Linked DNA regions of Sus scrofa. The protein of the gene in region 1 purifies or fractionates together with the protein of each later gene. This does not show direct contact. Links are inferred from orthologs where the notes say so. Each region holds a gene or a part of one and is shown in the gene's direction. Other genes may lie near its edges. The genes, in order: MAPK4 and FASTKD5.

What was found.
Region 2: the proteins of MAPK4 (region 1) and FASTKD5 purify together in Homo sapiens (affinity purification with mass spectrometry; 3 studies listed by BioGRID and IntAct, with this or other methods). This does not show direct contact. The link is inferred for Sus scrofa from reciprocal best matches to the Homo sapiens genes MAPK4 and FASTKD5.

What each region holds. Positions count from the first base shown.
Region 1 is NC_010443.5:100,213,540-100,228,738, forward strand, and holds part of MAPK4 (mitogen-activated protein kinase 4), read left to right. Parts: intron 1-5,476; 5' UTR 5,477-6,366; coding exon 6,367-6,912; intron 6,913-15,199. UniProt on the Homo sapiens protein: Atypical MAPK protein. Phosphorylates microtubule-associated protein 2 (MAP2) and MAPKAPK5.
Region 2 is NC_010459.5:32,512,611-32,528,451, forward strand, and holds the start of FASTKD5 (FAST kinase domain-containing protein 5, mitochondrial), read left to right. Parts: upstream 1-8,014; 5' UTR 8,015-8,136; intron 8,137-8,155; exon of another isoform or gene 8,156-8,361; intron 8,362-8,728; exon of another isoform or gene 8,729-8,845; intron 8,846-10,588; exon of another isoform or gene 10,589-10,696; intron 10,697-15,841. Other genes in the region: LZTS3 (leucine zipper putative tumor suppressor 3), read left to right, coding at 1,368-1,820, 2,159-3,025, 3,325-4,023. UniProt on the Homo sapiens protein: Plays an important role in the processing of non-canonical mitochondrial mRNA precursors.

The sequences.
Region 1 (15,199 bases):
CCTCACTGGGCTGGGATGTCACACTGGGCCTAGGTGGTTCTTGGTGGGAATCCCTTACTTGGGCTCAGCTAGTGTGTGATGATGATGAGAAGTATGGGCTTCAGAGTCAGACAGATCTGTGTTTATATGCCAGATTCATCACCGGCTAGTGGTGTGACTTTGGGTGAGTTATTTCCCTCTGGGGGCATCATGGGAGAATGATCCACATCATGGGGTTTTTGTGAGACCCAGCTAATCTGTCCCTTGGTTGAGAATGAACCCTCCATAAGTGTAGTTACCCCGTCTTTTTTTTTTTTTTTTTTTTTTTTCCTTTTCTTTTCACGGCCACATCTGTGGCATATAGAAGTTCCAGGCTAAGGGTCAAATCAGAACTGCAGCTGAGGTCTGAGCCACAGCCATGGCAGTACTGGATCTGAGCTACATGTGCTTCCTATGCTTTAGCTTGCAGCCATGCTGGATCCTTAATCCACTGAGTAAGGCCAGGGATCCAACCTGCATCCTCACAGAGACATCAGGTCCTTAATCCACTGAGCCACAATGGGAATTCCTACCTCATCTGCATCATGTCATCTTCACCACATTCCCAGAAGCCTCTGCTAGTGCATGTGGGATCTGGGAGCAAGGCATAGGGACAGCACCACAGAAAGGCAGAGCAGGAAGGCAGAAAGCTGACTCCTGAGGGCATGAAACCTACAGATGAGCTGGGCTAAGCTTTGGTGGGATCATGAGCCCAGGGCAGCTCCCCAGGAGGGCAGGCCCAGGATAGTGCCACTGGGAGGGGGCCCCCCAGGGAAGTGAGTCCTGCAGGAGGAGACGGTGCAAGAACGGCTGGAAAGGGGCCTGGTTACCGCACACTTCAGTGCCTCCTTGGGAACCAGCTAGAGAGTGTTGCTACACAGTCTAAACCCGGGGTCGTCAGCTCACCCCCAGCCAAATCCAGCCCCCCACCTATTTTTTGTAGATAAAGATCTATGGAAATGCAGCTGTGCCCCTCCTTTGGGTATTATTTGTAGCTGCTCTTGTGTGTTGAATGGTTGCAACAGAGACTATATGTCCTACAAAGCCTAAGATAATTATTCTCTGGCTCTTTATAGGAAAAACTTGCTAGTCTTTGGTCTAGGGCACTTCATAGTGATTAGGATCACCACGAAACTTCGAGTCAGACAGACTTGACCATGATATGATTAGTAACACCTGGAATGGTGCAGTGTGCAGCCTGTTTGGCTGTAAACATCAGCCCTGCGGGGGAAGGTTTTCCTGCCAGTTTTCGGGTGCTCAGGAGAGGGAAGAAAGCAGTGCCTGGGTAATGTCAGCACCTCGCTGGAGGCCACAGTTCCTGCTGAAAGCCGCCAGCATGAGGTTTGGGAGGATCAAAGCAGGCAGAGGAGGTGAGTCTAAATTTAGACTTTCCAAAGCTGCCTTGTAAACCAGAGCCCCAGGAATCCCAGAAAGGGACAATTGGCAGAGAGCATCTCATCGCTGATTTGCCTCCACATATTAAAAGACTGGATGTGTCAATTGACTGGCCTCAAATAAGAGATGGATGGAAGGTCAGTGAGAAATGAGTAGGCTCCATTGCTAGTTTTCTGGGGTAAGATTTCTAATTCTGTGGGGTTCTTGTTTATTTGTTTTTGTTTTATTTTGGCCATGCCTGCAGCATGCAGAAGTTCCTGGGCCAGGGATCAAACCTGAACCAGAGCAGTGACCACACCAGATCCTTAACTCACTGAGCCTAGGGAACTCCCTCCACTCCTATATTTTATTATAATGTTCAGCATGGAGTCGTGGGAGCCTTACTGCCCTTGGAAGAGTTATATGCGCTCTTTTCACTTGTGTGTCATTTGAGCACAGCTGAATTCATGACCTTCGCATATCTCATGCAAGTTCCCTGGTTTAAAATCACACCTGTGATTCAGAGCCACTCTGAGCCATCACCTCCAAGTAGAGAATGACTGTACTCTGCCCTGATAAGTCACATCACACCAAGAGCTGCCATCCTCAATCCTCTGCCCAGGTGGGCAGTTCGATATGTCAGGTATGCCCCTCTCTAGGGCCAAGAGGCCCACGGCCCTGGGTCTGCCATGTAAGAAATGAACCACTAATCTGAGACTTCTTAGGTAATAGGTATTTCATGATCAGTCCACCCATGGAGAAAGGCAAAGGGTTTATGTAGAAATTATAGAGGAATGATAGGGAAAACTTTAGAAAATGAAGAAGTATGAGAAGAGATGAGTAACTGTCAACTCAAGTGGGAAAAGAGAAATGGTGAGTGGAAGTCTGTCTGGTTCATGTTGAAATACAGAAAGAGGCAGCATCTGGAGTTCCTGCTGTAGCTCAGCAGATTAAGAACCCGACTAGTATCCCTGGACTCACTCAGTGGGTTCAGGATCCGGCATTGCCACAAGCTGTAGTGTAGGTGGTGGAGGTGGCTCAGATCTGGTGTTGCTATGACTGTAGTGTAGGCCGGCAGCTTCAGCTCCAATTCGACCCCTAGCCTGGGAACTTCCGTATGCCGAAGGTGAGGCCCTAAAAAGAAAAAATAAAAATAAAAGAGGCAGAATCTAAGTAGAAAATGACACTGAAGTTCAGAAATACTGATTTGTCTGAGTGGTCAGGGCTCGTTATGTGAAGAGCCTTGTTGGGTTGAATGTATTGCACTGAAGCAGTGATGAGAGGTAGAGGGGGTTGACTGTCTGGGGAAAGTGGACATTGCAGTTTTGTAGACATAACAGGTGGGCCTCAGGTAACTCCAAGCCCTGGTTTCATTCTAAGCACCACTTTGTATCCTGGGCTTGAGAAGCTTAAAGTCTAGTTGAGAGATGGACATGTCTAAAAAGTTAAGTAACAGCCCAGATTAGTATATGGTCAATGTCAAATATATCAGAAGAGGGAGGAATGTCACTGAGGACCCTTCCGAGGGGAAGTAAGACTTCATCTGGATTCAGAATGATGGGCAGGATTTCAACAGCAAGTGGGAAGGAAGCAGAACATGTCAGGATCTGGGAAGATGGAAGCAAAGAAGCAAGACAGGAATTCAGAGAGTATATTTAGGGCCATGAGAACAGTGGAGTGGCTAGAATTGGGTCTTCCCAAAGGATTGAGGTAACTGCCGACAGTGTTTTGGGCAGGCCACTGAGACACACACACACACACACACACAGCGCACAGTCCCTCCCCCAGTGAGAGAAAGAAGAGTTTTTAAAATAAGTAGAGCTCCTCTTAATTATCCACAGATTATCTGCATTGCAGCTCATCTGGAACAAATCCTGCCTTCAACTTGTGGGCGATTTCATCTCCCTGCTTAGGTGCTCATCCCCCCTCTCTGTTTACAGCCCATGGGAGCTAGAAAGGGGAGAAGGCTTCAGCATCTCCCCTCATCAAGCAAAATATATAGTTGCCTCTGTTTGCCGTGCCCTTGGGAACCAAGCCAGGCATATGGGTATAAAGTGAAAGGAGGAGTTCCAGTTGTGGCACAGCAGAAACAAATCCAACTGGTGTCCAGGAGAATGCAGGTTTGATCCCTGGCCTCACTCAGTGAGTCAGAGATCTGGCATTGGCATGGGCTGTGGTGTAGGCTGACAGCTGTAGCTCTAGCCTGGGAACATCCATAAGCCATGGGTATGGCTCTAAAAAAAGCAAATATAAATAAATAGATAAATAAACAAATTATTTTTAAAAAGTGAAAGGCACTCCAATTTAGTTATCTCTGACGTGATTTGGGCATCAGGAGTGGGTGGAGGGATGGTATGGGTCTCCAGGGGGCTCTTTTTTTTCCCTGACTTAGGTGTCCAGGTGGACTTCCCCAGCCCAGGCCATATACTAGAAATTGTTAGAATGAATGGTATTCTTTCATCAATTCATCAAATGTTTATTGACCTTGTCTATGTTAGAAGCACTGAGCTAGTGTTCTCTGAGCCTCAGTACCCTTATCTGCAAAGTGAGAACTCAGACAAGAACCGTAGTTTCTCAGTGGATATGCTGGCATTTGGGTGGGTTGGGGGGTGTCAGTTATTCACTGGAAATGCTCTGCAGGATGGTTAGCAACTCTGGCCCTACAGACTGTTAAAGGTCTGTAGTGATTCCTTATCAGAGCAGCCAAGGAGGGCAGGACCACCCCAATTAAGGACCACTGTTTGCTATGATTGCTTTTCAGTCTGAAATTTTGATTATTTTGTAACTGAGCCCAATAAAAACATGCAGAGAAGAATTGCTGAAGGTTGATGAAACATCAGAACAGTAGGTACCTCTTATTCCAATGTAAGGGAATTTCCATCAATAGCAACAGCAGGTAACATCTGTTACTACGTTCCAGACTCTTGCTAAATTCTGTTCACTAGAAGTCTTTAGAGAGCACACGATTATTTACTATTTCAGATCATCTGTGTCCCCTAACTTGCCCCCTTAGTTTTAGAGCATGGATTTGACTGCTGTTTTGCTTCATTTATCATTCCAGAGTTCAGATGTGAAAGTATCCCTACAGGGGGCCGTACAGAATGATGAAAATTAAGAAGCAGTCTTGGCAAATTCACTCTTTTGCACAGGATATAGTGTTTGTTCTCTGTGTGTCTGTGAACTTAATAAACTTAAAAAGTCTGGCACTCTCTTAGAAGCTATGATATTACCTTTTCTTAGGAGTTCTGAATTTACAGGGCTTAGTCGTTTTTTTGTTTTTGTTTTTTTCTCCCCACTTAGTTCTGATGCCTGTAATTTAAGTCAGCAGCCATCAGGGGGCGGTTAGGCTACAATTTGACCTATTGCTTTGAAGAGCTAGATCCCCATCATCAAAAACAATACAGTTTATCATGCTAGTCCTACTGTCACACCAAGAAGTCTGTGTCCTTGTTTGCTTCACAGAGAGTCCCTTTTCCAGGGTGGCAATAAAATTTCCTTGTAATGCAGTATGTATGCTTATGCTACCTCCATGGAAAGCAAGAGATACAAAGTAATTAAATCTCAGTGCCTGGCAAATTCTCTCAAAATCTTCAAAGATGTTTGCAGAAGTAGGAAGAAAGGGGGTCTGAGTATAAAAACAAAATTACTGATCCTCTATTTTCTGTCTGCAATGCGTTACTTTTTACTCTCACGCTCCTTAGTGAGTTCTGATGTGTGTATTTAGAGAGCACTTTTTACTCTCACGCTCCTTAGTGAGTTCTGATGTGTGTATTTAGAGAGCATAAGGGATGATTTTTGCAAAGGGCAGAGAGGTTGCCACCCACAGTTTCTGCATGTTAACCTTTGGGGAGCAAGCTTTTACATAAAAGGCATGTCAGTCCATCTTCTCTCTCTTCCAGGGGCACGCTGCACACAGCAGGAGGGTGGCTGGGCGGTGCAAAGCCTGGAATCCCCTGAGCAAGCAGTGTTTCAGCTGGCTGGACAGATCAAATAACACTTGGGCTGGTTAACAAAAGACATGCACAAGTGGGAAGGTGTTGGAAGCCGAAGTGTGGAAATTTACCCAACATTGTTTCTTTGGCAGGATAGGAGACTCTGCCTGAAAGATGCCGAGTTCCTGCAGGCTTTCTGGGTCCAGCAGAACACAGTGTCATTCAAGGTGGCATGAATGAGGGTGTGACGGAGAATGCTGCCCACTTCTGAAGCCTCTGGAGGATCCTGGCAGGCCAGCTGAGCTGCCCTCAGGTTTGGGCCTTGAGGTGTAACTGGGTGTAGAGCTCATGAAAGGTGCTTGGATTTCTCCAGTTTTCTTCACCATCACTCAACAAACTGGTTTGGGTTTCAGAATCTAAGAGGAACTGGTAGAAAGGAGAGCTGGCGGAGGTAGAAAGAAATCCCTGGAAGCCTCTACAATCCATTGTTGGAATCTCTTCATATTGCTCCAGACCCAGAGGGCAGCCCCCTAGCTGACAGAGGCTGCCATACAGCTAGCTTCGGACCACCGAAAGTAGAGGAACACAGCTCAGCAGCAGCTCTGCATTTCAGCCAGAAGGAACCTCTGTTAACAAAGGATTTTAAGGGGAGAGTTGCTGCGTCTTTACTATGTGGCCCATCATGACAGGAAACTTTATGTTCACATAGTGAATAAAACTGGTTTTTTCCTTCCAAGATGCTATATTTGAAAGAATCATGAGCCATTCTAAGCTTCCAAGAAGGCTCAGGAATTGGTGGACAGCCTTCCCAGTGCAGGTTAAGGAAACAGTCTGAGCCTCCAACTTGTACAGCTCAGCAAGTATGGACTTATGCCACTCTTGTCTCCAGAGAGCTGGTGGCAGTGACATCACTAGAAAAAAAAGCATCCCTCAGCCTTGGGACTTGACAGAATGAGGTGTGCTGGAGAAGCCACTAGCTGGGACTTGGCCTTTTCTGACTGCCCTTTCATCCCACGGGCAGCCCCTGACCACTAAGCCAACAATGGCTGAAAAGGGTGACTGCATCGCCAGTGTCTATGGTTATGACCTTGGTGGGCGTTTCATTGACTTGCAACCCCTGGGCTTTGGCGTCAATGGGCTGGTACTGTCCGCCGTGGACAGCAGGGCCCGCCGGAAGGTGGCTGTGAAGAAGATCACCCTGAGTGACACCCGCAGCATGAAGCACGCGCTCCGGGAGATCAAGATCATCCGGCGCCTAGACCATGACAACATCGTGAAGGTGTACGAGGTGCTGGGGCCCAAGGGCACCGACCTGCAGGGTGAACTGTTCAAGTTCAGCGTGGCCTACATCGTCCAGGAGTACATGGAGACTGACCTGGCACGCCTGCTGGAGCAGGGCACCCTGACAGAGGAGCACGCCAAGCTGTTCATGTACCAGCTGCTCCGAGGGCTCAAGTACATCCACTCCGCCAACGTGCTGCACAGGGACCTGAAGCCCGCCAACATCTTCATCAGCACGGAAGACCTCGTGCTCAAGATCGGGGATTTTGGGTTGGCAAGGATCGTTGATCAGCATTACTCACACAAGGTACGTCTGGCTGGGTTGCTGATGCAGGTGGTCAATGGAATCCTCAAGAATGTTCAGGGTATCCCTAACTCCAGTGGAACTGGAGGACCAGGGTATGTGCTTGGGGAAGCTGGAGGGCCCAAGAAAGATCACTGGCCTGAAAAGCTGTTGGGGGAGAAGGGAGTTCTGGTGCTTAGTCTTGCCTCTGCCATGGCTGTGACCAATAACTCAAGGCTCTACAAGAGGGGGGTGGATTAATGGATCCAGCACTAAACTCTGTGCCTTCATAATCGTGTGGTTGGTGAACTTGCCTCTAGCATCCTTTTCTCTCTGCTGTCCACCTAACCACCTCCTCTCCCTGCTCCCTGCACAGGAGCCCCAGGGAGCCTTCCCACCACTTGAGTTCATCTCGCCTCCTCTTCCCATCAAAGCTGCCCAGCTCTGTTTTCCATTCATTCTGTCTGTGGATAGAGGCACCACTGGCTAATCTGATGAACTAATTCTGGGTGTACACTATCCAGCTAATGGCTCAGCTCTCCCAGGTCCCATGATGCCCCACCCACCACTGTGTGATGCTAAAGCCCTGGGTGTCTGGATGGTGCTGAGACCCCTCCACCCTCACACCATGGTGGGTGGCTCAATGCTCCAGCAGCTGCAGAGATCAGGGCTGACACAGCCACACTGGTCAAGACACTGACACTCATTCTGAGACCTCTTCTTACCTAATCCACTATACCCTTCAGGAGCTGGGAGTCCTCTGAAATTCTATTCCCCTTCTCCCAGCTCCTTCCACTTCAGGGGATCCTCTGAGCACCTCAGGCAGGCACCCCCTCCACAGAGCTTTGGCTTCCCTGTGATTTCCAGTCTCTGGCCCAAACATTTATATGATGAGTTTTTTTTCTAGAATGAATCCAGTCCTCAGGAAGGAGGCACACCATAAACTGTTGCCAGCTGAGGGGCTGGGGTATGTCCAGAAAGGGGAGGATAGCTCTGACCTTGCATATGCTTCAGCTTTCTTTCTGAGGCCTCATACCTCTGCTCTCCCCTGCCATCCTGTGTTCCTGCAGCCAGAAGGTCGCAGACACTGAGAAAGGTGCTGACCTGCCTAGGGCAGATTCGGCAGGAAGGTGTCTGGGGAATGGGGATGGGGGCAGGGCTCCATGTCCCACCCTCACCGGCTAGAACTTGGGCTCCAGCCCAGATTTCAGACCCGGAATCAGCCCAGCTGGCTCCAGCTCCTCGGTACTGCCTTAGCCATGAGCTTGCCCTCTATGCCCCCTCCTGCTGCCAGGCCATCTGTCAAAACTGACAGACGATTCTCTGCAAAGTAATGTCCATGGTCAAAAAAAAAAAAAAAAATGATAAAAGAAAAGAAGAAATGCCCTTCTGTCTTCCTGACTCCTCATGCTCTTTCTCTTTCTTCTAAGGAACAATGACTCCAAACAATTGAACCAAAGGTTATAACCCAAAACTGTTCTTATTTGGTAAAAGGACCAGAGAATCCATGACATTTGTATTTCCAGGATGCACAAAACCGCCTTCTGAAGTGGAATAAACCAGTTCATGTGGGAATAACAATAGGACTGTCCTTGAAGGAAGGGTCTGGTGAAGTGAAGTATTGAAGGGAACGTGCTCAGAACAGCCTGCGGCTGGTCTTCGGGAAACTCAGGGAAGCTGATTGTTGGGGCAAAGATTGGCTGTGGCAGCAATTCTTAGGAGGTGTGTGAGGTGAGGAGGTGATGCTGTGTGAGGAGGCAGAGGCCTGGGCTCCCTTCTGACGGTGCTGCCTGGGACATGGACAGTCGCCCTCCGAGAGCCAAGCCTCGTTTCTCCATCCTTGACAAAATGGAACATGAGGAGTTCTCATCGTGGTGCAGTGGAAATGAATCTGACTAGGAATCATGAGGATACAGGTTCGATCCCTGGCATCACTCAGCGGGTCAAGGATCTGGCATTGCCGTGAGCTGTGGTATAGGTCACAGAAGCAGCTCGGATCTGGTGTGTCTGTGGCTGGGGCTGTAGCTGGCAGCTACAACAACTCCGATTAGAACCCTAGCCTGGGACTCTCCACATGCCATGGGTGCAGCCCTAAAAAGACAAAAAGACCAAAAAAAAAAAAAAAAAAGTGGAGCATGATAGCAGAGCCCCTTGGAAAGTAGTAAAGACCTTACCCCTTCATCTAATGAGTGTTTGCTGAGCGCGCCAGGCCCCAGACTCTGTGCTGGGATCTGGAGAGGAACCCCAGGTTCACTGACCACCATAGGTGGCTGTGCTACTGTCACTCAGGGGTGGGAAGCCATCTCTGGTTGAGACTTTGATTTTCCTGAGGCAGAGGAATTTAGATGCTGTGACTTACTCTTTGTGGGCTCTCGTCAATAAAATTAGCTGTGAGAAGTTTAAAAAAAAAAAGATAACTGGAGCCAATTACAAGCCCAGTAGGTGTTCACATCAGCTCTGCATTTGGCAGGCCTCCCCCACCCCCACCTGCCTCCTCCCTCACATACTTTCTGCTTTTAGCTTCCTCCCTACTCTTGCCCAAGTGATGACGAAAGCTTTATATTTGGTGCCATTATTTATCTGATGTGAATTTAAATCAGTTCTCATTGAATTCTCATAATGCTGTGAGGCACATAAGGCAAATGGTCCATTTTGCTTTATTTATTTATTTATTTATTTTTATTTATTGCTTTTTAGGGCCACACCTGTGGCATATGGAGGGTCCCAGGCTAGGGGTTAAACTGGAGCTGCAGCCGCCAGCCTACATCACACAGCAATAGCAACTCAGAATCTGAGCTACATTTGCAACCCACACTACAGCTCACAGCAACACCGGATCCTCCACCCACTGAGCTGGGCCAGGGATCAAACCCGAATTCTCGTGGGTACTAGTCAGGTTTGTTACCACTGAGCCATGCTGGGAACTCTGAAAATGGTCCGTATTAAAATGGAGAGAACTGACTTTCTCAAGATTACTCGGCTGACAGTGGCAGAGGGGACATGAGAACTTGTCCTTCTTGAGTCTTGATGGATTATCTTTTCCCGAGCCATCTCCTTCATGAAGGCTTTCTGGTCTCCAGCTGGAATGAGTCTTTGCTTTCTTTACATTTCTCCACCCCCTAACCTGGATCTTCTAGCATCCACCCTTCTCTGCTCTGTCTTATGGTATTTGTGCCAGTGGTTCTTTTATGTTCTCTTAGGCTGAAGGCTCCTTGGTTCTTGATGGCTGTGTCATGTTCATCTTGGTTTCCTCCAGGGAGTTTAGTCCTGTGCCTGAGACATGGCCCAGTTGATTGTGTTGACTGTCTTGAACATACAGCAGAACTGTCATTGACCAGCACATAACAGCTAGGATGCTGGGTGGGCTCACTGATTCCATGTGCTTAGAAGGTGTAACTCTCAGAAAGAGAGAATAGAATTCTTCCAGCCAATGGGTTGGCTGGGGTCAGCCATGTGCATCTGCTCTCCCTGGTGTGTTCAGAGGACAATGCCTACATGTGAATAGCTCTAAACTCGACCCCTCCTAGAGTTTTATGGGTACTGATCTTGCCTTGCAGAAACGGTGCTCACCTGGGCTGCAGCCAGTGCTTTTGTGTGGGTTACAGCCCAGTACCAGGGACGGGCTTTGGGAGCCAACTGGGGGATGGACTCAGAGGCAGCAGCTGATGCTCAGTCTCCTCATCATGACCTTCTCATGGGTGGACTCCAAGCTTCTTTCACCTCCACATCCCCTGCTCTAGCACAGGGCCTGGAATGGGGCAGGTGTCCATTGTGTTTCTCAGGGAAAGGAGGTGCCAAAGGAAATGACCTCCTCTTCTCCAATGAGCAGCTGGCAGCACTGGAGCTTCAAGTCACAGTCATCGAGCATTCTGGGCACATGTCCCCCTACCACACCCTCCCAGGGGTCTTGGTCTTTGCAAGGCAGAGGGCAGCTAGAGGCCCCAGCTGGAGATGGTGGTGGGTAGCAATGGGGTGCCCTGATGGCTCTCACTCAACAGAGGTGGCATGGAGGCTCCTAGTTTCTCTGGGTCATCAATTGCATGACCTCAGGCAAATCCTTTTCCTTGTGTAGCGCATCCCCAGAATAAGAGACCTGTAAGGAGGAGTTCCCGCTGTGGCACAGTGGGTTAATGATCTGGCTTGTCTCTGTGGAGGCACTGGTTTGATCCCTGGGCGGGCACAGTGGGTTAAGGATCTAATGTTGCTACAGCTGTGACATAGATCACAACTCTGGCTTAGATTCAATCGCAGCTCTGGCCTGGGAACTTCCACATGCCACAGAAGCAGCAGAAAAAGAAAAGAAAAAAAAAAAAAACCTGTAAGGAGACCTCACAATCACCTTGTCCATTCCTTCCATTTCACAGACGGTAAAACTGAGGCCTAGAAGGGGGAAGAGACCCACTCAGGGCTGAGCCAGGAGTATAGTGCACACATGTCGACCCCTTCTCAGTTGTCTTCTCTGCCAAATGGGTCATCATTCCCATTCTTCTTATTTCACAGGATTCTTTTTAGAGTCAAACAAAGGTGAGGACTTTCAGATGTTCAAAGGGCTAATTCACTAACAGAACTACTTGCCCAGTAGATTCCATGGTGACACCAGGCAGACACCCAGATGCTATTTTCCCCTCCACTAATATATGGAACCATCTCCTGACATGATGGCCAAAGGGTGAGTCATGAAGCCCTACCCAAGGGTGGCTGCCCAGCCTGTCCTCCTGTCGTGAACCACTTTCTGCCCACCTCCTCGGCAGCCCACTAATTCGTTCCTTGTGTTTGTGTCAAGAAGAGACGGCCAAAGGATCCGAGAGTGTTTCCCTTTGAATTTATTCTATTAGGAAATAGATGATCTCAAAAGAGATTTAAAAAAATGTTGTTTAAAGACTTCACTAAGTCCTAAGTAAATTCCAAGAAATGTTGGGAGCCCCCATAAGAGGGAGCAGAGGGCTGGGCAGAGCATTGACAGTCGGATTAGCTGTGTGGACACGTCCCTCCAGGAAGGGGCCAGGAGAGGGAACCACCTCTTGTTCTTACTGCGGCTGCCAACAGACTTACCTTTCCTGGCAGCAGTAGGCAGGAAATAGCCTGGCGGAATTCCTGTCATGGCTCAGTGGGTTAAGGACCTGGCATTGTCTCTGAGGATTCTGGTTTGATCCCTGGTCTCTAGAAAGATGTGGGTTTGATCCCTGGCCTTGCTCAGCATTGCCGCAAGCTGCGGCGTAGGCATCAGATATGACTCAGATCTGGTGTGGCTGTGGCTGTGGTTGTGGCATAGGCCTCAGCTGCAGCTCCTATTCAATCCCTGGCCTGGGAACTTCCATATACTACAGGTGTGGCCATGAAAGGAAGAAAAGAAAATACCCAGGAAAGAAAGCAAGAGGAAGAAGCCCATAGAAAATGTTTTAGTGGATCATTTGAGCAAGTCTTGTGCTAGGCTGGCCTGCCTTCAGGCCCAGACCACTTTCTACTTCAGAACTTCTTACCTCATGATCCATGATCAGAATGCTCAAATGCTCTCACACTCTGCCTCCTTATCTCATGAAGATTCTGTAGAAATCAGCTAGTACAGTGGTCCTCAAAGTGTGGTCCTGGACCAGCAGCATCAGCTTTACTTGGAACTCATGAGAGGTACATATTCTCCGGTCCCATCTCAGGCCAACTGAATCAGAAACTCAGGGTGTGACCCAGAAAGGTGTGGTTTAACAACCCACCAGGTGATTCTGGTGTTTTTGAACTTTTAAGCACCACTGATCTGAAGGCCTGGAGTTGCTTATATGTGGACAGGAAGCAAACACTCTTGTGTTTGCTGATGCTTGCAGCTGAGGTTCTCAAACGTGAGTGCAATGAAGAAGGCGAAGAACTCCTCCCAGATAACATGGGTATGTTTGATGAAGGTTCCTTAACCAAAGGCGTAGTTAATGGTGCGGATACCAGGCACTGTGACAGGGAATTGCAAGGATTGCTTTATGCAGTTTGACTTTTAGGGCCTCAGTCACATCACTTGGAAACGGCCTGGTCCCCCATCACTCAAGCATGGCAGAAAGCTGCACAAACCAGGAACTCCATCAAAAGGAGTGTTTGTTCTGCTTAGGTTTGACTTTAACAAGAGTTAGGTGATGTGAACAAGGATTTTAGAAAACATACTTTTCATCCTGGTGTTAACGTCTTCACTAGATGTTATTTCAAAACAAGACATTGCTTTCACACTTCAGTGAGACCGAGTGATTGAGGGCTCAGCAAATTACTGCACTTTGTTCAGGCGTGTGGTTCAGTTCAAGGTCCCAAAGGAGGCAAAGAGGTACATGATGGAAAACACATCAGCCAACTTCCAAAGGCTTTGCACAGAGCTTTAATCAGCTACGTTTTTGCTGCTTCGGTCATGTTGATTGACCGCATCTCCCCTCTCTCCTGGTCACTCTGCCTTCCTTTGATGGCTTCTTGTCTGTTTAGGCCAAGTTATCCTCCCTCTGCCCAAGCAGACATACAAAAACTCCCCTAAAGCACAGATTCTCTCAAAACTTAACCTAGGTAGAGGAATGCCCATTTTTGTGGCTGAAATAGAGCCTTTGCTGTTGATCAAAAGAAGGTCCATTTGGTGTTCTATGCGCTTCTATTTTGGATGGACTCCACTGTGCAGATACAGGTCCCTATGTGCAGGAAGTGAGGAAAGCCTAGCCTGGGAGCTAGTTTCCCCAGAAGGAAACTGGGGTCCACAGTGCTGGCACTGGGAGAGGCCCAAGGTTTCATGAGAAAGTGGGCTCGTTGAGGGACAACTTGCTGAGGGCCCAGCTAGAAGTTCTTAAGCCACTAAGAACATTATTCCAAATCAGTGGAGCTGAAAAGATTTATTTAAAAGGCTATGAAATATCCCTTTTTAAAAGGGAAAAATATGACCTAGGGGATTAGAACAGAGGTTGTGCTAGAGAGTCAAATGTCCCTGAACACCCAGGCTGAGTAGAAAAAGCTAATTTTCTCAGCTTTCAATGCCTCCCCTGCCTCCCCTCTTCCTACTGCAGCCTTACCCCAAGGGGCAGGGTCTTCACTCATCCCTGAGCCTCCTGGGGTCCTCTTCTATCTACTCCCAGAACACTATACCCAGGCTTCCCTTCCTGGGAAGCAACCCCACTTAGCTCCAGGGGTGATGTTATAAACCTCTAATAACTGGCATGGCTCAGGCACCAACTAATTAGAAAGAAAGCCGGCAGAGTTCTAAGGTGGGTCCTGAGGTGCCCTGCTTGCCAGGAATTGACCCTTTATTACTGGATCATAGGGAGGTTTGGGAGTATCTGGGAATAAGGCCAAGATGATGAGCGAGGGACTCAGAGGCTTGCAGTAGTGGCTATTTTCCAACCAGTTTGCGAGTATTTCATGAGCCTAACAACTGGCCTCGCTGTACTGATGCATACCAGCAGTGCTTTGCTGCCTTCCTCTTCGTATCAGAGCTCACCCTTTCCCATGTGCCTGTGGGTCTGGTTCTCCACTGGGGGTGAATGGTTGATTTAATGGTGCAATGAGATCAGTAGCTCCCTCCTTACTGTCAACACCAGCTTCCTCACTCACCTACTCACAGTTAGAGCTGCCACCTCCTATGCAAAATCTCCAAAGCTCCAGAAGAATTCAAGAAGCAGGAAGTGAGCCTTCCTGCTAAGAAGGCTACAGATGGTTAGTATTTCATGTGGTACAGGCTTGCTGGGGACAAATTATCTGTTTATCTAGAAAGTGCCTTTATTTTCTCATTTTAAGTTTGTTTTTCTAGGATATAAGATTCTGCATCTGTTAATGTTTTTCTCCTTCAGTACTTAAAAATGTCATTGCTTTATTTTCTATCCCTATTGTTTCTCAAAAGGTCTTCATTCTCTATATGTCATGTCTTTTTTTTCTCTAACTGCCTTCAAGATTTTCTCTTGATCTTTAACTTTCAACAGCTGACTGTGATGTGCCTACGTATGGTCTTCTTTTACCATATTTAGGTAATTCATTGAGCTTCTCACATCTGTAAATTGTTTTTTTTTCCCCCTTCACTATATTTGGGATATTTTCAACTATTTCTTTTCTACTCCACTTTTAGGGCTGCAGTCACGGCATAGGGAGGTTCCCAGGCTAGGGGTCCAAGTGGAGCTGTAGTGGCTGGCCTACACCACAGCCACAGCAATGCAGGATCTGAGCTGCATCTGTGGCCTACACCATGGCTCACAGCATTTCTGGATCCTTCAACCTACTGAGCAAGGCCAGGGATCAAACCCATGTCCTAATGGATGCTAGTCAGGTTTGTTAACCACTGAGCCATGATGGGAACTCCCTACTCCACTTTCTA
Region 2 (15,841 bases), on another chromosome or scaffold:
GGAAGCAGAGCCTTTCTGGGCACAAGTAACCCGAGGCCCCGCTCCCCTACCCCGGCTCCTGTGGGCCGGCCTTGAGGGAGGGGGGGACGCAAGCTCACAGGAGGGCTCAGAGGAATTCGCGGCGAAGTGAGCTGGGTCAAGGTCCACGAGGAGCTGGGGGAGGGGAGTAATCCAGGAAGTCTTCCCGGCGGCAGCGAATTCTTAGAGGGGTTCTGCGGGGGCGGAGTCCTGGGCTCCGCTGGGAGCGGACGCCCCGCCCCTGACCCCGCCCACCTGTTGGAACCGCGGGGCTCAAGGGAGGCAAGGCCCGCGCCCGCAGCGGGCGGGCGGCGCTGCGTCTTCTGCCCTGGTCCCGGCCAGCCCGGAGCCCTCTGCCGAGGTACTGACCATGGGGAGGGGGCGCTTCCGCGCCAGGCGAGGTCCCTCCCTTGCCACGCGCAGCAGCCGCGGTCCCCGACCGTCTGCGGGGGGGTGGGGGGTGGGGCGTTCCTGTGGTCGCCCAGATGCGCGCGGCCGCGGGAACTCCCGCCCACCCTACCCCCAAAACCCCCGTCGCCTGTCGCGCCCGTTGCCCTGGGCTGCCTGGCACACGGCAGCACTGCGAGGTAGGTCCTTCATTCCTCCCATTTCGCAGAGGAGAAAACTGCAGTCCGGGATGGCTCAGTCGGCCCGTCCAAAGTCGCACAGCTGGTTCTGGCCGAGCCCCTACTACGAGAGTGAGGCACATGGCCCATGCAGACCGGGCCTCGGAGGGTCCCAGGCTTGAGGACCCGTCGGCCCCCCCACCCCCTTGGAGAGGCAAGGAGAGGATCCTGCGCTCGTAGTGAGCCTCCACTTCTGCCCTTGACTGCAACACCCTAGGTTAGGGGGCTGGGAAGGACAGCCCACAGTTTTTGGAGAGGGGTGGGTTTCTCTTCCTCCCTTAACTTCTGAGGTTCCCTATTGGATTCAGGTACCGCTCCCGCCTTCCAACCCCATCTCCCCAGCTGGGTGGGATGTACAGGCCCAGACCCAGAGTAAAGAACCCCTAAGTTCTGGAGGTTGCAGGGAAGAGTTGAGGCATCACTGAGTCTGGGAGGCTCCTGGAGGAGGTGGGTTTGAGGTGGGAGTTGAGGAGAGCACAGCTGGGAGGGTAGGTGCATGGTCCCTGGGGGTTGGGCTTTGTCAGCAGGCAGCCCCTCTTACCAAGCTATCACTGTTTCCCCAGCCCCATTCCTTCACCTTGGGTGTTTGGGAACTCTTGTACCCACTGTGAGGAAGGGGACACCGAGGGACAGGTCTGTCTTGGATGGGGTGGTGGGAGTGGGGGTGGGGCTGACCTATCTCTGCTTTCCCACCTGTGTCCACAGTGCTCCCCTGGCTTAGTCATGGCGAAGCTGGAGACACTGCCTGTGCGCGCTGACCCAGGGCGGGATCCCCTCCTGGCCTTTGCCCCTCGGCCCTCTGAGCTCGGACCCCCAGACCCTCGCCTGGCCATGGGCAGTGTGGGCAGCGGGGTGGCCCACACCCAGGAGTTTGCCATGAAGAGTGTGGGCACCCGCACAGGGGGTGGGGGCAGCCAGGGCAGTTTTCCTGGCCCCCGTGGCAGTGGGGCCAGCAGGGAGAGGCCAGGCCGCTACCCCTCAGAGGACAAGGCTCTCGCCAATTCACTCTACCTCAATGGCGAGCTGCGGGGCAGTGACCACACGGATGTCTGCGGCAATGTGGTGGGCAGCAGTGGTGGCAGCAGCAGCAGCGGTGGCAGTGACAAGGCCCCACCTCAATATCGTGAGCCCAGCCACCCACCCAAACTCCTGCCCACCTCTGGCAAGCTAGACCAGGTCAGTCCCCAGGGCTTTTTTATGGGGGTGGGAGGCAACCCAGAGATGGGGAGGAAGTGGGTCTTCTTGGAGGTTGGGTTGTAGGGGCTGAGGTAGAAGCTGAGTTGAGGAGCCTTGGAGGCCAAGTCCACCTGCTGGGTCTAGGGCAGAGACCTGGCTGCTGGGATCAGGAGGGTGGATGTTGGGTAGAGACCCAGCCAGAAGGGACTCCCAGGATGGAGCTCCGATGGGGTAGGGGGGAGGTGGGGCTGAAGACATCTAGGCCAGAGGAAAAAGACTGGGGTCAAGGCCAAGGCCCCATCATGATTCCACATTCCCCCTCCCTTGCTTTTATGCAGTGCTCAGAGCCACTGGTTCGGCCTTCAGCCTTCAAGCCCGTTGTACCCAAGAACTTCCACTCCATGCAGAACTTGTGCCCCCCGCAGTCCAACGGGACCCCTGAGGGACGACAGGGCCCCGGTGGCCTCAAGGGTGGACTGGACAAGTCTCGGACCATGACCCCAGCGGGTGGGGGTGGGGGCGGCCTCTCAGATTCAGGCCGGAACTCACTCACAAGCCTGCCCACTTACAGCTCCAGCTACAGCCAGCACCTGGCGCCCCTCAGTGCCTCCACCAGCCACATCAATCGCATTGGCACTGCCAGCTATGGTAGTGGCAGTGGTGGCAGCAGCAGCGGTGGTGGGTCAGGCTACCAGGACCTAGCAACCTCTGACAGTGGGCGGGCCTCCAGCAAAAGCGGGTCATCCTCATCCATGGGGCGGCCAGGCCACTTGGGATCGGGGGAGGGTGGAGGTGGAGGCCTGCCGTTTGCGGCCTGCTCGCCACCCTCGCCCAGCACTCTGATCCAGGAGCTAGAGGAGCGGCTGTGGGAGAAGGAGCAGGAGGTGGCAGCTCTGCGGCGTAGCCTGGAGCAGAGCGAGGCAGCGGTGGCTCAGGTGCTGGAGGAGCGGCAGAAGGCCTGGGAGCGTGAGCTGGCTGAGCTGCGGCAGGGCTGCAGTGGGAAGCTGCAGCAGGTGGCCCGGCGCGCTCAGCGCGCCCAGCAAGGCCTACAGCTGCAGGTGCTGCGGCTGCAGCAGGACAAGAAGCAGCTGCAGGAGGAGGCAGCCCGGCTGATGCGCCAGCGGGAAGAGCTTGAGGACAAGGTGGCCGCCTGCCAGAAGGAACAGGCCGACTTCCTGCCCCGGATGGAGGAAACTAAGTGGGAGGTGCGGGCTGGGGGCTTGGGCTCTCCCTGTGTCCCCTTCCATCTCGCTGGAGAAACCCAGAACAGCAACCCACAACCATCACTGGGGAAGCGAAGGTTGTGGCGGGATTGATTAGGGGTGTCTGAAGACCAGCGCTGTCCAGGGCTGTGTGAAATTAGCCATGTCTGAGGAGGGGGTCTTCCTGCTCTGATGAGGAGCTGACCCTGAGCCCCGGGGTAGCTCAATGCCCTGGGGCTGGGGTGGGGGTGGGCAGAGCTCGGCCTTCACCCTGACTTCTCTTCTCACCCGCTCCTGCCCAGGTGTGCCAGAAGGCTGGGGAGATTTCCCTCCTGAAGCAGCAGCTGAAGGACTCGCAGGCCGACGTGTCCCAGAAGCTGAGTGAGATCGTAGGGCTGCGCTCCCAGTTGCGGGAGGGCCGGGCCTCGCTGCGGGAGAAGGAGGAGCAGCTGCTCAGCCTGAGGGACTCCTTCAGCAGCAAACAGGCCAGCCTGGAGCTGGGCGAGGGCGAGCTGCCCTCTGCCTGCCTCAAGCCGGCACTGACCCCAGTGGACCCCGCTGAGCCGCAGGATGCCCTGGCCACCTGCGAGAGTGACGAGGCCAAGATGCGCCGTCAGGCTGGGGTGGCTGCCGCCGCCTCCCTGGCTTCCTTGGATGGGGAGGTGGATGCTGGGGGGGAGAGTGGGACGCGGGCCCTGCGGCGGGAGGTGGGGCGGCTACAGGCTGAGCTCGCAGCCGAGCGGCGAGCCCGGGAGCGCCAGGGTGCCAGCTTCGCAGAGGAGCGCCGCGTGTGGCTGGAGGAGAAGGAGAAGGTCATCGAGTACCAGAAGCAGCTGCAGCTGAGTTACGTGGAGATGTACCAGCGCAACCAGCAGCTGGAGCGGCGGCTGCGAGAGCGCGGGGCCGCGGGAGGTGCCAGCACGCCTACACCCCAACACGGGGAGGAGAAGAAAGCCTGGACCCCCTCCCGCCTGGAGCGCATTGAGTCCACGGAAATCTGATCTCCCTGGGCATGTGGTCTTTTGACAAAAACCCTGTCAAAGGCCAGAGTCCCCAGTATCCCCTCCTTGCCATCACCTTCCCCCCCCATGTCCCCCTGTATCCCCAGACCAAAGAGGTTCTCAAAGCAGCTGTGACCAGGTCCCTCCCCTCCCCTCACTGGGTGCCTCCCAGCTCTACCACTGCCCCCCTGGGCAGCCCACTTGACCCTCCTCCCAAGGAGGAAATAGGGGGAGGGCTGAGTGTGTGGGGATGAAGGGCCCAGGCAGCAGGGGAGCCCGGGCTCCCTTTCTTGGCACTCCCTTGTTGAAGAGGTGGCAGGCCTGCAGTGCCGCCAGGTACCCAGCCCTTTGATGGTCTGGGCTGCTACTGCCGGCCCATCGTGTGTCTAGAGATGCGCTCTGTGCCCATCTCCTATGCCGTGTAGCCTGAGGGGGCCTGCCTGGGGTCTGCCGGAGCGGACAGACCTTGGGCTCCCGGCCTCTCTCCTTCCTGCGCAGTCTTCCCTCCTTGGCAGATTGGCAGGATGAGTGGGAGCAGATGGCCTGCCTGTGGTTGAGAGGGCTACCTGCCCAGCCCCTCCCCCCCCAAGGTCTCTTGGGCTCAGGCCTCAGAGCCTGGCCTGGTCCTGAGTGTGTGTCCATTTGTGCGTGTTGGAGGAGGGAAGGGCAGGGACTGGAGGCTCAGTGCCCAGGGAAGCTCTGCCCTCCTCTTCTTGGGAAGGGTCACCTGGAGGCTTCTTAGCTCTACCCTGCCCCTTCTGGCCAGGATCCCACAGGACAACAGTCCCATCTGCTTGGCTGACCCCATACCCCGGACCACTGTCCAGCTCTAACTACAGCTATTAAGTGCTACCTGCCTCTCAGGCACTCCCCTCACCCAGTTTCTGAGGTCATATGAGTGTCTGTGATGTCTTCCTGTGTCTTCCCCCACTTGATTCCCTCAGCCTCCTTCTGCTTTCATGCTCAGCCTCCTGCTTTCATGCTCTGAACATCGTTGTCCTAGGCCACCGCTTCCCCCAAACCTCACCTTTTCTTCCAGTAGAAAACTCTGCTTGATCTTTGGTGCACTGCCCACTTCCACACTCCACTGGGCCCAAGCCTGAGCCTGTGGCCCTTGTTTTGGGGGACAGGGGTGGCTATGATTGCTCTTGAAGAGCAAGGCTGAATGGAGAGGAACACTGACTCCTGGGTCCCAGGGGCCTGAGGTAGCCCGGGGTTTGCCCAGAGTAGGCCTGGCATAGCCGTCAGTGGGGGTGGGGGCAGCCAATGTCACTTCCTCCTCTCGGGGCCCTCTGAGAGTCTATCTCCCCAAGATAAGAAGGGAAAGGCAAATTTCTAACACACCAGCAATAAAAATCGGAGGAGGCTTGGCCCTCAGCCCTGGTATTTCTCTCTTTTCACTCTCTCCCTCCCACCCCCAAGACTGGGTTTGTGGGGCAGGGTGGAGGGAGCTGGCAACTACTGTGAGCAACCCCCGACCCCTGACCAGCCTCCTCCCATGACTGGTGACTGTTTAACCAGCTGTGCATCCCCCACAAAAACAGGAGTGCCCCTCTGCGTGGCCTCTGTCCTTCTGCACAGCCCCTTCCGGTGGCCCTCCCCAGATCTCTGAGCTGGGTGAGGGGCTGTCCTGGCAATCACTGCCCATTCCACTCACCCTTCACTACACCTGCCCCAGAACCTGGGCCTGGGCCAGAGGGGCAGGGGGAAGAGAAGGCATTAGTAGGAAAAAAAAAAAAAAATAGAAAAAAAAATATGAACAGACTCAGCTTTGGGACTTCCAACCACAAAAGAAATTATATATAAATATATAAAAATATATATCTCTACCATATGTGATGGAAAGACTTCGTTTTCTTTTCCCAAAGAAATAAAATGGAGAAAGCCTCTTGAGTGGCTTTTTTTTTTTTTTTTTTTTTGGCTTGCTTGTGCCTTTGCTGGTGTGAAGGTGAGGCTGGGTGAGGGAGGTGTGGAGGGCAAAGCTGGAGTAAACATTTTCCAGAGGAGGCATGAGACTGGAGGTGCTTACTGGGCCGTGCCTGGAGGTTGGCCCAAAGCCCAAGCTCCTCCCTGTGGCTAGGAGGAGTAGTGGTTCCACGTTCCTGCCTGACAGGGCTTTCTCTTCAGGTCTGCCTGTCGCCAAAAGGGTCTCCAACTAGTTCCTGCTCAGAATCTGTTGGGAGTTCCCCTCGCGGTTCAGTGGAAACGAGTCCGACTAGGAACCATGAGGTTGCTGGTTCAATCCCTGGCCTCACTCAGCAGGTTAAGGATCCCGCGTTGCCTTGAGCTGTGGTGTAGGTGCAGACGCGGCTCAGATCTTGTGTTGCTGTGGCTGTGGTGTAGGCCAGCAGCTGCAGCTCCCCTTAGGCCCCTAGCCTGGGAATCTCCATATGCTGCAAGTATGGCCTAAAAAGGCCAAAAAAAAAAAAATACATATATATATATAAAACTGGATACCAGGCTGTTGGCCAGAAGGCAGGGGAGGCTACAGAACCAGATGCAGCCTGCAGCATCCTGAGCCACCCTACAGTGATGAGCTGAAGTCTGAGGGCAGAACACAGACGTGAAATGTTTGTAATTAGCAGTAAGAACCAATTTGTAATTAGTGGTGAGGCCCCAAAGGCAGAAGGGACCCAAGTGTGCTTCAAGGAGGGAGCAGATTTTTATGATCATTCCTTTGCTCATCCTCATGAAGCTCCCCAAGCAAGAATGTACTCTGCTACAAGTAATGCAGCCTGAGTTACAGGACCTCAAAGAGTGGTTTATTCATCCTCACCTGATAAAAAGTCTGAACATAGGCATCAATAGTGTCACAGGGCTTGGTTCATTAAGGACCTAGACTTCTTGCCTTCCTACACTATCTGTGGCACATTGTTCCCTCTTTACCACAAGGCGGCAGCCACAGCTCTGTGAAGTGAATGAGGCAGCAGCACTGTATCATGAAAGTAAAACCTTTCCCAGAAGTTCCACAGCACCGTTCCCTTTAAATTTTGTGGGCTAGAGCTGAGTCATAGGCTCTTCCCACTTCAAGGGAGGCTGGGAAATTGAGTATTTGGCAAAGACGATCAGGATTGTTATGGCTGCCTAGGAGCAATTACGGTTCATCTCATCTCCTGGGCGCTCTGGGTTCTGACGGCAAGGACAGAGTCATAAATCGGCAACTCCCAGTGTTTGCCCTGGTCTGGCCCAAGTGAGAGAACCCTCTCCAAGCAGCGGTGTCCCAAACAGTGTCCTCCACAGAGCTTAGGTATTGAGATGCCAAGCTTGCCCCTCCTTGCAAGGAAGTGTCCTTCCTACAATTGATTTTGTCTCCCCATCAAGATGGTTCCCTGGAGGAAGCACCATTTCTCAGGTTCCCTCAGGATGGGCGGACCAGCAGCCAAGGCACAGACAAGGTGTGACCACCCTGATCAGCAGTCTCCAGTGCGCCTAGGAACGGCTGTCTGGGGTCAAGTCCTCCTGGAAAGTCTCGAGTGTCTCTTCCTTGCCTAGCTGTCCATACCCACTCAGGAGGAAAGAAGGCCCCCGCCCCCGCCCCCGCCTTCTTGGGGAGGTGGAAGATCACCTGGGTTCATCTGTCAAAGCTCTGGCCTCCTTATTCAGCTCCTCACATCCATTTCCCCTAACAGGGTAATCTTCTATCCATCACTAACTCTCCTCCTGAGAGCACTTTGTAGATACATCTCTATTATAAATGCATGATTACCTCATTATACAGATGAGAAACTTGGCTTAGAGGATTTACGTGACTTCCCCAAAGCCATAAAACTCTCAGTAGCGATCTGAGATTCGAACCTGTGTTTAGGCTATTCGGTAACTTCCAGAGCGGTCCATCCACGGTGGTGTTTCCTCTCCTCAGGTCTTGGATTCCCCTTGTCTCTTCAGCAACGTCCTTCCGCAGAATCTCTGGGAGACGCTAGGGAACGTCCCTGGGAAACGCTGAAAGAGTTTTGAGCCTTGGCCGCACCCGTCGCTCACGTAGCGGCCGGAAGTAGCGGGCATTTGGCCGGAAGTGGAGCTGTGAGGCCCAGGTGTAGCCGAAGAAGTGGCCGCGGAGCCGCCGTCTGCGGGAGTGGGGTCTGGTGTTGCAGCGCCGGCGCTTGCCAGGCTCAGGTGAGTGGCGGCGGCCGGGGAGGAGGTCGTAGCGGCGCTCTCTGCCGACGTGGGCCTTGGCCAGCGCCTCTCGGCACCGGGCGTGCGCGGAGGCCGGGCGCGGTGCTTCCCGGCCCAGGCTGTCGCAGGCCCGGCTTTAGGGAGAACATCGGCGACCCGGAGTCCTGTGACCTTGCCCAAACGTCTTACCAGAACCTCGATTTTTTTTCCCGCTATGAGACGGAGGTAATGGCAGTACTCGCCCCCCTGGTCTGTTGTGAGAATGTAGTGAGATGCTCAGCGGCTCCTCTTACTATACTTCATATGCATGCGCATCACCTGGGGATCTGAAGATTTTGATTTTGTATGTAAATCTGAGATGAGGCCTGCGATTCTGCGTTTCTCACCAGCTTCCAGGTGAGGCTGAGGCCACTGCTCCGCAGCCCGCGCTTTGAGCAGCAAAGGCCCCGCGATATTCGCTTAGTACCTGCGACAGGTTGAGTCTTAAATAAATATCAATACAGTGTATGCACTTAAACCCATTTTTTAACAGTTTCTGATTGCACAAGCCTAAGGGTGGTATTTTTAGCCCTCTTCCTTTTTTTCTTTCTAGGGATAAGAAAAACAACTGTCTTTTCTCCTTCCATACAAATCATGACACAGCTCTTCTGTCCTGACTCATGGAGCTTGGGGCCCTCTTCATACCAGTTATGTTCATGGGCTTCCTCAGGTGATGCTTCACTGCCCACTCACTTGGACTGTGGAGCTGGAGCCCAGCGCTTTAGCACCAGCATGGCTAATGTTTTGTGTTTTAGTAATTTGCTGCTGGAATCTGAACTCATGTTTTCTGCACTTTGCTCACACTTTGTGAATGATAAGAACAGTCACTTTTCCAGAACGAGGTTCTGTGACTCCCTAATGTGAATGGCCTTGGGCAAGCCTGAGATGAAGCTGCTGCCTGGGAGACCAAAATGAAAATCAGAGACTCTGTGCTGCATAATATATCTGAGGCCTTTGGCAGTTATGCAGATTTAATTTATTTGTCAGTGTGGCTTTCTGCCCCATTCATTGGTTTATTTTTTCTGGTCCCCAACAAGGCTCTGCCATTCATCATGCATATAAGTCAGCTTTGATACCAAGGAATTCTGAATACTATGTGGCCTTGCAAATCTAGGAAAGCAGATACAACCAAATGTTTGGTTATGCTAACAGTGATAGATATTTGGACTGTTAATTTGGAATTTTTTTCACATGATTCTGGGTGCAGATACTTTACCTGTCTGGATTTTGTCAGTCTTCTCATAGTCCCATTTAGATGGGCTGAGAGGACATGAGTGTCTGCTCTCTACCGTTGTACCCAGAAATTTCTAAAAGTAGCGTTTTTTGTTTTATGGCTTCACCTGAAGCATATGGAAGTTCCCAGTCCAGGGACTGAATCCGACCTATGCCACAGCTGGGGCAATGAACCCACTGTGCCAGGCCAGGGATCAAACCCATACTCAGCAGCAGCCCAGGCAGCCGAAGTCAGATTCTTAACCTACTGTGCCACAGCGGAACTCCTACAGATAAGAGTTTTATGAAACCTTTTACGAGCAGTGGCTCTGGAGTTCCCTCTCTGGCGCACTGGGACACAGGTTCCATCCCAGGCCCAGCATAGTGGGTTAAAGTATCTGGTGTTACTGCAGCTATGGCGGAGGTTGCAGCCGTGGCTCAGATCTGATCCCTGGCCTGGGAATTCCATATGCCATGGGGGAGGGGCGGGGGTGGCAAAAAAAAAATAGCAGTGGTTCTAACAGGTTCATCTGTGGGGTCTTCTGAGACTATATCAACCCAGGTCCTTGCCATTCTGATAGAGGGATAGCAGAGTCTTAGAAGGAGTGGGCTATGTAAGCTTAAAAAACAAACAAAAAACCCCACAGATGATTGTAATGTACTCGTTTCTCTCCCCTAAGTGTGGAAACTGGAACGGAAATGGAGAGGATCAGCAGTTAGACTTGATTTTGGTTTGGCTTAGTTGTGTGGGGGGTACTTTCCTTGACCTAAACACCTTTGCACTAGTGCTTTACCTCCCTAGTTGCAGCCGACCCCTCTTTTGTAGGTTGTGCTTAACAGAAGCACAGAAGAGAAGAGTCTAGCCCAGTTAGCATCCTCATTAACAGATGAGGCCCCCCCAGTGTCAGTCTCTAATCCTTCACTGGGGGCTTTAAAGCTTTGTAGCCCCTGGTTACAAAGTTCCTTAACTTTGTAGGAAGTTAGTTTTTTTGCCTTTTTTTTTTTAATTATTGGGGCTGCTCAACACATTCTTTGCTAAGATAGAAATGGAGTTTGAAGCATCCATTTGTTTGTGGCAATTTTATTGGGATTTATCAGTGGGTTAAATTTTTTTTAGCAAAGGAATCAAACCAGAATTAAGGGATGATCTCCAGTAATTGTTAATTGAATATGCTGAGGGTGTCATATACTTTATCTCTAGTTAGTTTGGCTGCCTTCCTCCACCTGGTTCCCCTCTCCTACCTTCTGGACTGTAGTTTAAAATGAAGCTACTCAGCCTTGCTCAGACCTGTACCTGGAAGGTAGGAAGGTAAGATTCCTCACTCTTGTGAAATCACATCATTCAGGGTGGTTTGGGCAGTACCCTTCTAAATAGCCATGGTCCAGTGGTCTCTGAGGCTCCATTCTTGTTCTTTAGGACCCCTAAAGAGGGGATGGGAAGAAGGTATACTTGGGGCACTTAAAATAGGAAAACGGTTTTGTGAGAGGATAACACACCGCTTTGAACCTTTAGAAAAGGCATCAGGAGTTACTGATTTGGCCTCTCATAATGGTCTCTTTTCAGCTTTGTTATGGATTCTCTGGGAGTCCTTAAGTAAGGAGGTACCAACTCTCCTTACCCTCCTGTGTTTTTTCTCCATCTTGACAGCACATCCTCACCTCCCATCATTTGCCATGCATTTTCTCCCCACTCTTTTGCTTTACTGGTTCTCTGTCTTCCTTGAGTTTCTTCCCTTTCCTTCTCCATAGTACTCAATACCTAACTTCTTTTTTTGTTGTTTGCTTTAATTTTATGATCGCACCCACAGCATAGGGAAGTTCTCAGGCTAGGGATTGAATCTAAGTCACAGTTGTGACCCACACCACAACTGTGGCAAGGCTGGATTCCTTTAACCCTGTGCTGGACAGGGGATTGGAACCACACCTCCACAAGGACCCGAGTCACTGCAGTCAGTTTCTTAACCCAGTGGGCCACTGTGGGAGCTCCTTAAGACCTAACTTCTGAAGTGGTTATATCTCATATCTGTAAATGTAGGTATGGTGTCTGTACAGTTATCTTAAAAGTTGTGTGGTGAAAAAGGGAGTAGCTACCTTTTGCCATTTGCATTTTCTGAATGGCTCTAAGATTATTTATTTTATCATTGTTTCTCTTACTGGGCATCCATGAAGAAGTTCTACTGGCAGTAGGAAGTACTTGCACTAGAAATAACCTTTCAGCATTTTCCTTGAGAACTTAAATTGCATTTTTTATTCATGAATTGTCTTTTTTTTTTTTTTTTTTGGTCTTTTGTCTTTTTAGGGCCGCATGCTCAGCATATGGAGGTTCCCAGGCTAGGGGTCCAATCTAAGCTACAGCTGCCGGCCTACATCACAGCCACAGCAACAGCAATGCCAGATCTGAGTGGCATCTTCGACCTACACCACAGCTCACGGCAATGCCAGATCCTTAGTCCATTGATCAAGGCCGGGGATCAAACCCGAAACCTCCTGTTTCCTAGTTGGATTTGTTTCCTCTGTGCCGCAATGGGAACTCCACTAATTGTCTTCTTGAAGAATACTTAAATTTCCTGTTAGAACATGCATTTTGTAAGTTCATTTTTTCAAAGTTATACATGTACATGGTTCACATAATTAAATAATTTAACAGATCTTATGACACTCAATATTAGTTCCCTTTTTTTTTTTTTTTTTTTTGTCTTTTGTCCTTTTTTACGGCCGTACCCACGGCATATGGAGGTTCCCAGGCTAGGAGAGTCTAATTGGAGCTGTAGCTGCTGGCCTACGCCAGAGCCACAGCATCGCCAGATCTGAGCCGCATCTGTGACCCACACTGCAGCTCACGGCAATGCCAGATCCTTAATCCACTGAGCAAGGCCAGGGATCAAACCCGCAACCTTGTGGTTCCTAGTCGGATTCATTTCTGCTGCACCACGACCGGAACTCCTTTTGTTCCTTACTTTTCAACTATTTGTCTGTTTCTTTTGGTATTCATTGCTGTATTTTATTTTTGTTATTTAAAAAAATTCCGGGGGCGAGTTCTCATTGTGGCTCAGCAGGTTAAGAACCCAACATAGTGTTGGTGAGGATGCAGGTTCGATCCCGGTCCCTGCTCAGTGGGTTAAGGATCTGGTGTTGCCACAAGCTGTGTCTTCGACCTACACCATAGCTCACGGCAATGCCGGATCCTTAACCTACTGAGCGAGGCCAGGGATCAAACCTGCAACCTCATGGTTCCTAGTCGGATTTGTTAACCACTGAGCCACAACAGGAACTCCCAAGGTCTCAGTTCTAAGACCAGGAATTGAACCTGGGCTGCAACAGTGAAAGCACCAAGTCCTAACCACTAGACCACCAGGAACTCCTTTCATTGGTGTATTTCTTTTTTTCTGTTTTGCTACAGCTGAAGCATGTGGCAGTTCCTCAGCCAGGGATCAAACCCTTGTCTCAGCAGTGACCCGAGCTGCTGCATTGACAATACCAGATCGTTAATCTGCTGCACAACAGGGGAACTCCTAAATACTATATTTGTGTGACTATTTCTTGATTTTTTTTTTTTTTTTTTTGGCTTTTTAGGGCCTCACCTGGTGCATGTGGAGATTCCCAGGCTAGGGGTCAAATCAGAGCTATAGCACCAGCCTACACCAGAGCCACAGCAACACCAGATCTGAGCCACGTCTGTGACCTGTACCACAGCCTACGGCAATGCTAGATCCTTAACCCACTGAGGGAGGCCAGGGATCAAGCCTGCATGCCCAGGGATACTAGTCAGATTTGTTTCCACTGAGTCACGATGGGAACTCCTATGTTGCTATTGTTTTCTAGGATATATCTGTGTCTGTAAACTCTTTGACTTCTTTCTTGTGGACTTCAATGCTCCAGGTCTCTTATATCAGTGCCTGATCCCCCTTCTCCATTCCCCTCCCCTCATCCTCCCAATATAGTTTGCTCATGATTTTTGGTTAGGCAGGTATTCAAGGTTTATACTAGTAAGATTATGTAAGCTGAGCAGGGAGTACAATATGATAACATTTTCTGTCTTGACAAATTTTTTGTTTTCCCTGGAGTTAATACTTTTTTAAAAATTTATATTATTTTATTTTATCTTTGCTTTTTAGGGCCACACTTATGGCATATGGAAGTTCCTAGGCTTGGGGTCAAATTGGAGCTACAGCTGCCAGCCAATGCCACAGCCACAGCAACACAGGATCCGAGCTGCACCTGCGACCTACACCACAGCTCTCAGCAACGCCAGATCCTTAACCCACTGAGCAAGTCCAAGGATCGAACTTGGATCCTCATGGATACTAATTGGATTCATTTCCGCTGCTCCACAATGGGAACTCCCCTTGAAGTTAATACTTTTTGTTACTGATGTTATTGGTTTGGTTATCCATCTGTCTATTAATTGGTCATCCTCAGATTACCCATCACAATTGTAAATCTTCTCTCCTAGGTAATACCCATCCCCTTCACCATAAACCAGTTGCTTTTTATGTCTGCTCATTGCAGTCATCCTGGGATCTCCCATTATTGTTATCCTGGGATTTCCCTTTAGTTCTTTTCTGTGTTGAACTCTAAATTCTGGATCACATATCTTTCCTGCCAGCCTTGATGTCTTCAGTTGTAATAGTTCTCTCTCTTTTCTTTTCTTTTTTTTTTTTTTTTTTTTTTTTTTGCCTTTTTGTCTTTTTAGGGCCACACCTATGGCTGTGGAGGTTCCTAGGCTAGGGGTCTAATTGGAGCTGCAGCTGCTGGCCTACGCCACAGCCACAGCAATGCAGCATTCAAGCTGTGTCTTCGACCTACACATTGCTCATGGCAATGCTGGATCCTTAACCCACTGAGCGAGGCCAGGGCTTGAGCCCGAAACCTCATGGTTCTTAGTCGGATTCATTTCCGCTGTGCCACAATGGGAACCCCTGTGATAGTTTTCTTTTCCTTAATACTGGGGTATCTCTTGTAAACTCAGTTCCTTCATGTAGATTTTGGTCTTTGAGGTCTTCTCTTCATTCTTTTTCTAAGTAGTATATACTCAGCATAGTGATAGCTAGGATCCTAGAGTATTCGAGGTATGAGGACCTTTTGAGCTCTCCTAGTTCTAACCCTCCAACTTCCTGACACCTGGAAACCCTATAGATGATTTGGAGTCCTCCCCACTCCCCTTCCTGGAACCTGACTCCCCTTCTTGTCTCTACACTAGCAGCGTGGGTTTCAGAACCAGATAATCTTTGACGTCAAACCCCATTCTGTGCCTTGGTTGTGTAATCTTCATCGAAGTCTCTTTTTCCTCATCAACAACATCAAGATAATAAAATCTACCTTACAAAAAGTTGTAAGGATTTGAATTGATGCAGATTAAACAGGTCATTCAAAAGAGTTCCTGTTGTGGCTCAGTAGGTTATGAACCCGAATAGCATCCATGAGGATGAGGGTTCAATCCCTGGGTTAAGAATGTGGCGTTGCTGTGACCTGTGTTGAAGGTTACAGACACAGCTTGGGTCCCATGTTGCTGTGGCATAGGATGGCAGCTGCAGCTCCAATTAGACCCGTAGCCTGGGAATTTCCGTGTGCCACAAGTGTGGCCCTAAAAGGCCAAAAAAATGAAAAATCCTGCTCATTCAAGGCTTAGCATGGAGGAGACTCTAAGACAATTTTGGCTGTAATTATTTCCATCTTAGGACTTAGTCTGTGTTTTTGCAAATCAGAAAGTGTCACATTAACTCAAACTTCTAGATCTATACCATTGATGTTCCGGGAAATGGTTCTTTTGTTCAAGACCATATTCAGTAATCTCATTAAGTACCCTTAGGTAGCATCAATCGAAGTAATTTATTTAATGTGCTTTTCAAGTTATATTATTTATAAAGGCGTTTGTTAAAATAATCCACGCACTCTCTGTTTAACAATTTTAACCCCAATTAAAAAGAGAAAAAAGTTAATTTCTGAAAGATATGAAGAAAGCCTCCCAAAAAGAAGCCGAATAGTCACTTTCCTTTTATATTAGTGTATTTTAAATGATGGCACTTGTATTCTGTTTGTTCCACTGAATATTTGTATGTACTTTTCCATGTGTTGTTACTTGACACACATTTATTCTGTAAACACCTTCCTCCTTCTGGATGAACATTTGGGTTTTCAGTTTTTTTGCTATAGTAGGAAAAAAAATTATGTCTTTTTTTAAAAGTTATTTCTTCCGATCTTGTTCCTAAGATGAGATGAAGCACTTTGAACAATTGCTTTACTTGCACATTGTGTTGAACTAACTTTAGATTCCAGCTCCAAAGCAAGTATTCTTTTTAAGTTTTATGGAAGTGTAATTGATTTACAGTCTTGTATTAATTTCTGCTGTGCAGCAAAATGATTCAGTTATATATGTATTCTTTTCTGTTATTTATCACAGGATATTGATTATAGTTCCCTGTGCTATCCAGTAGGACCTTATTTTTAGCCATCC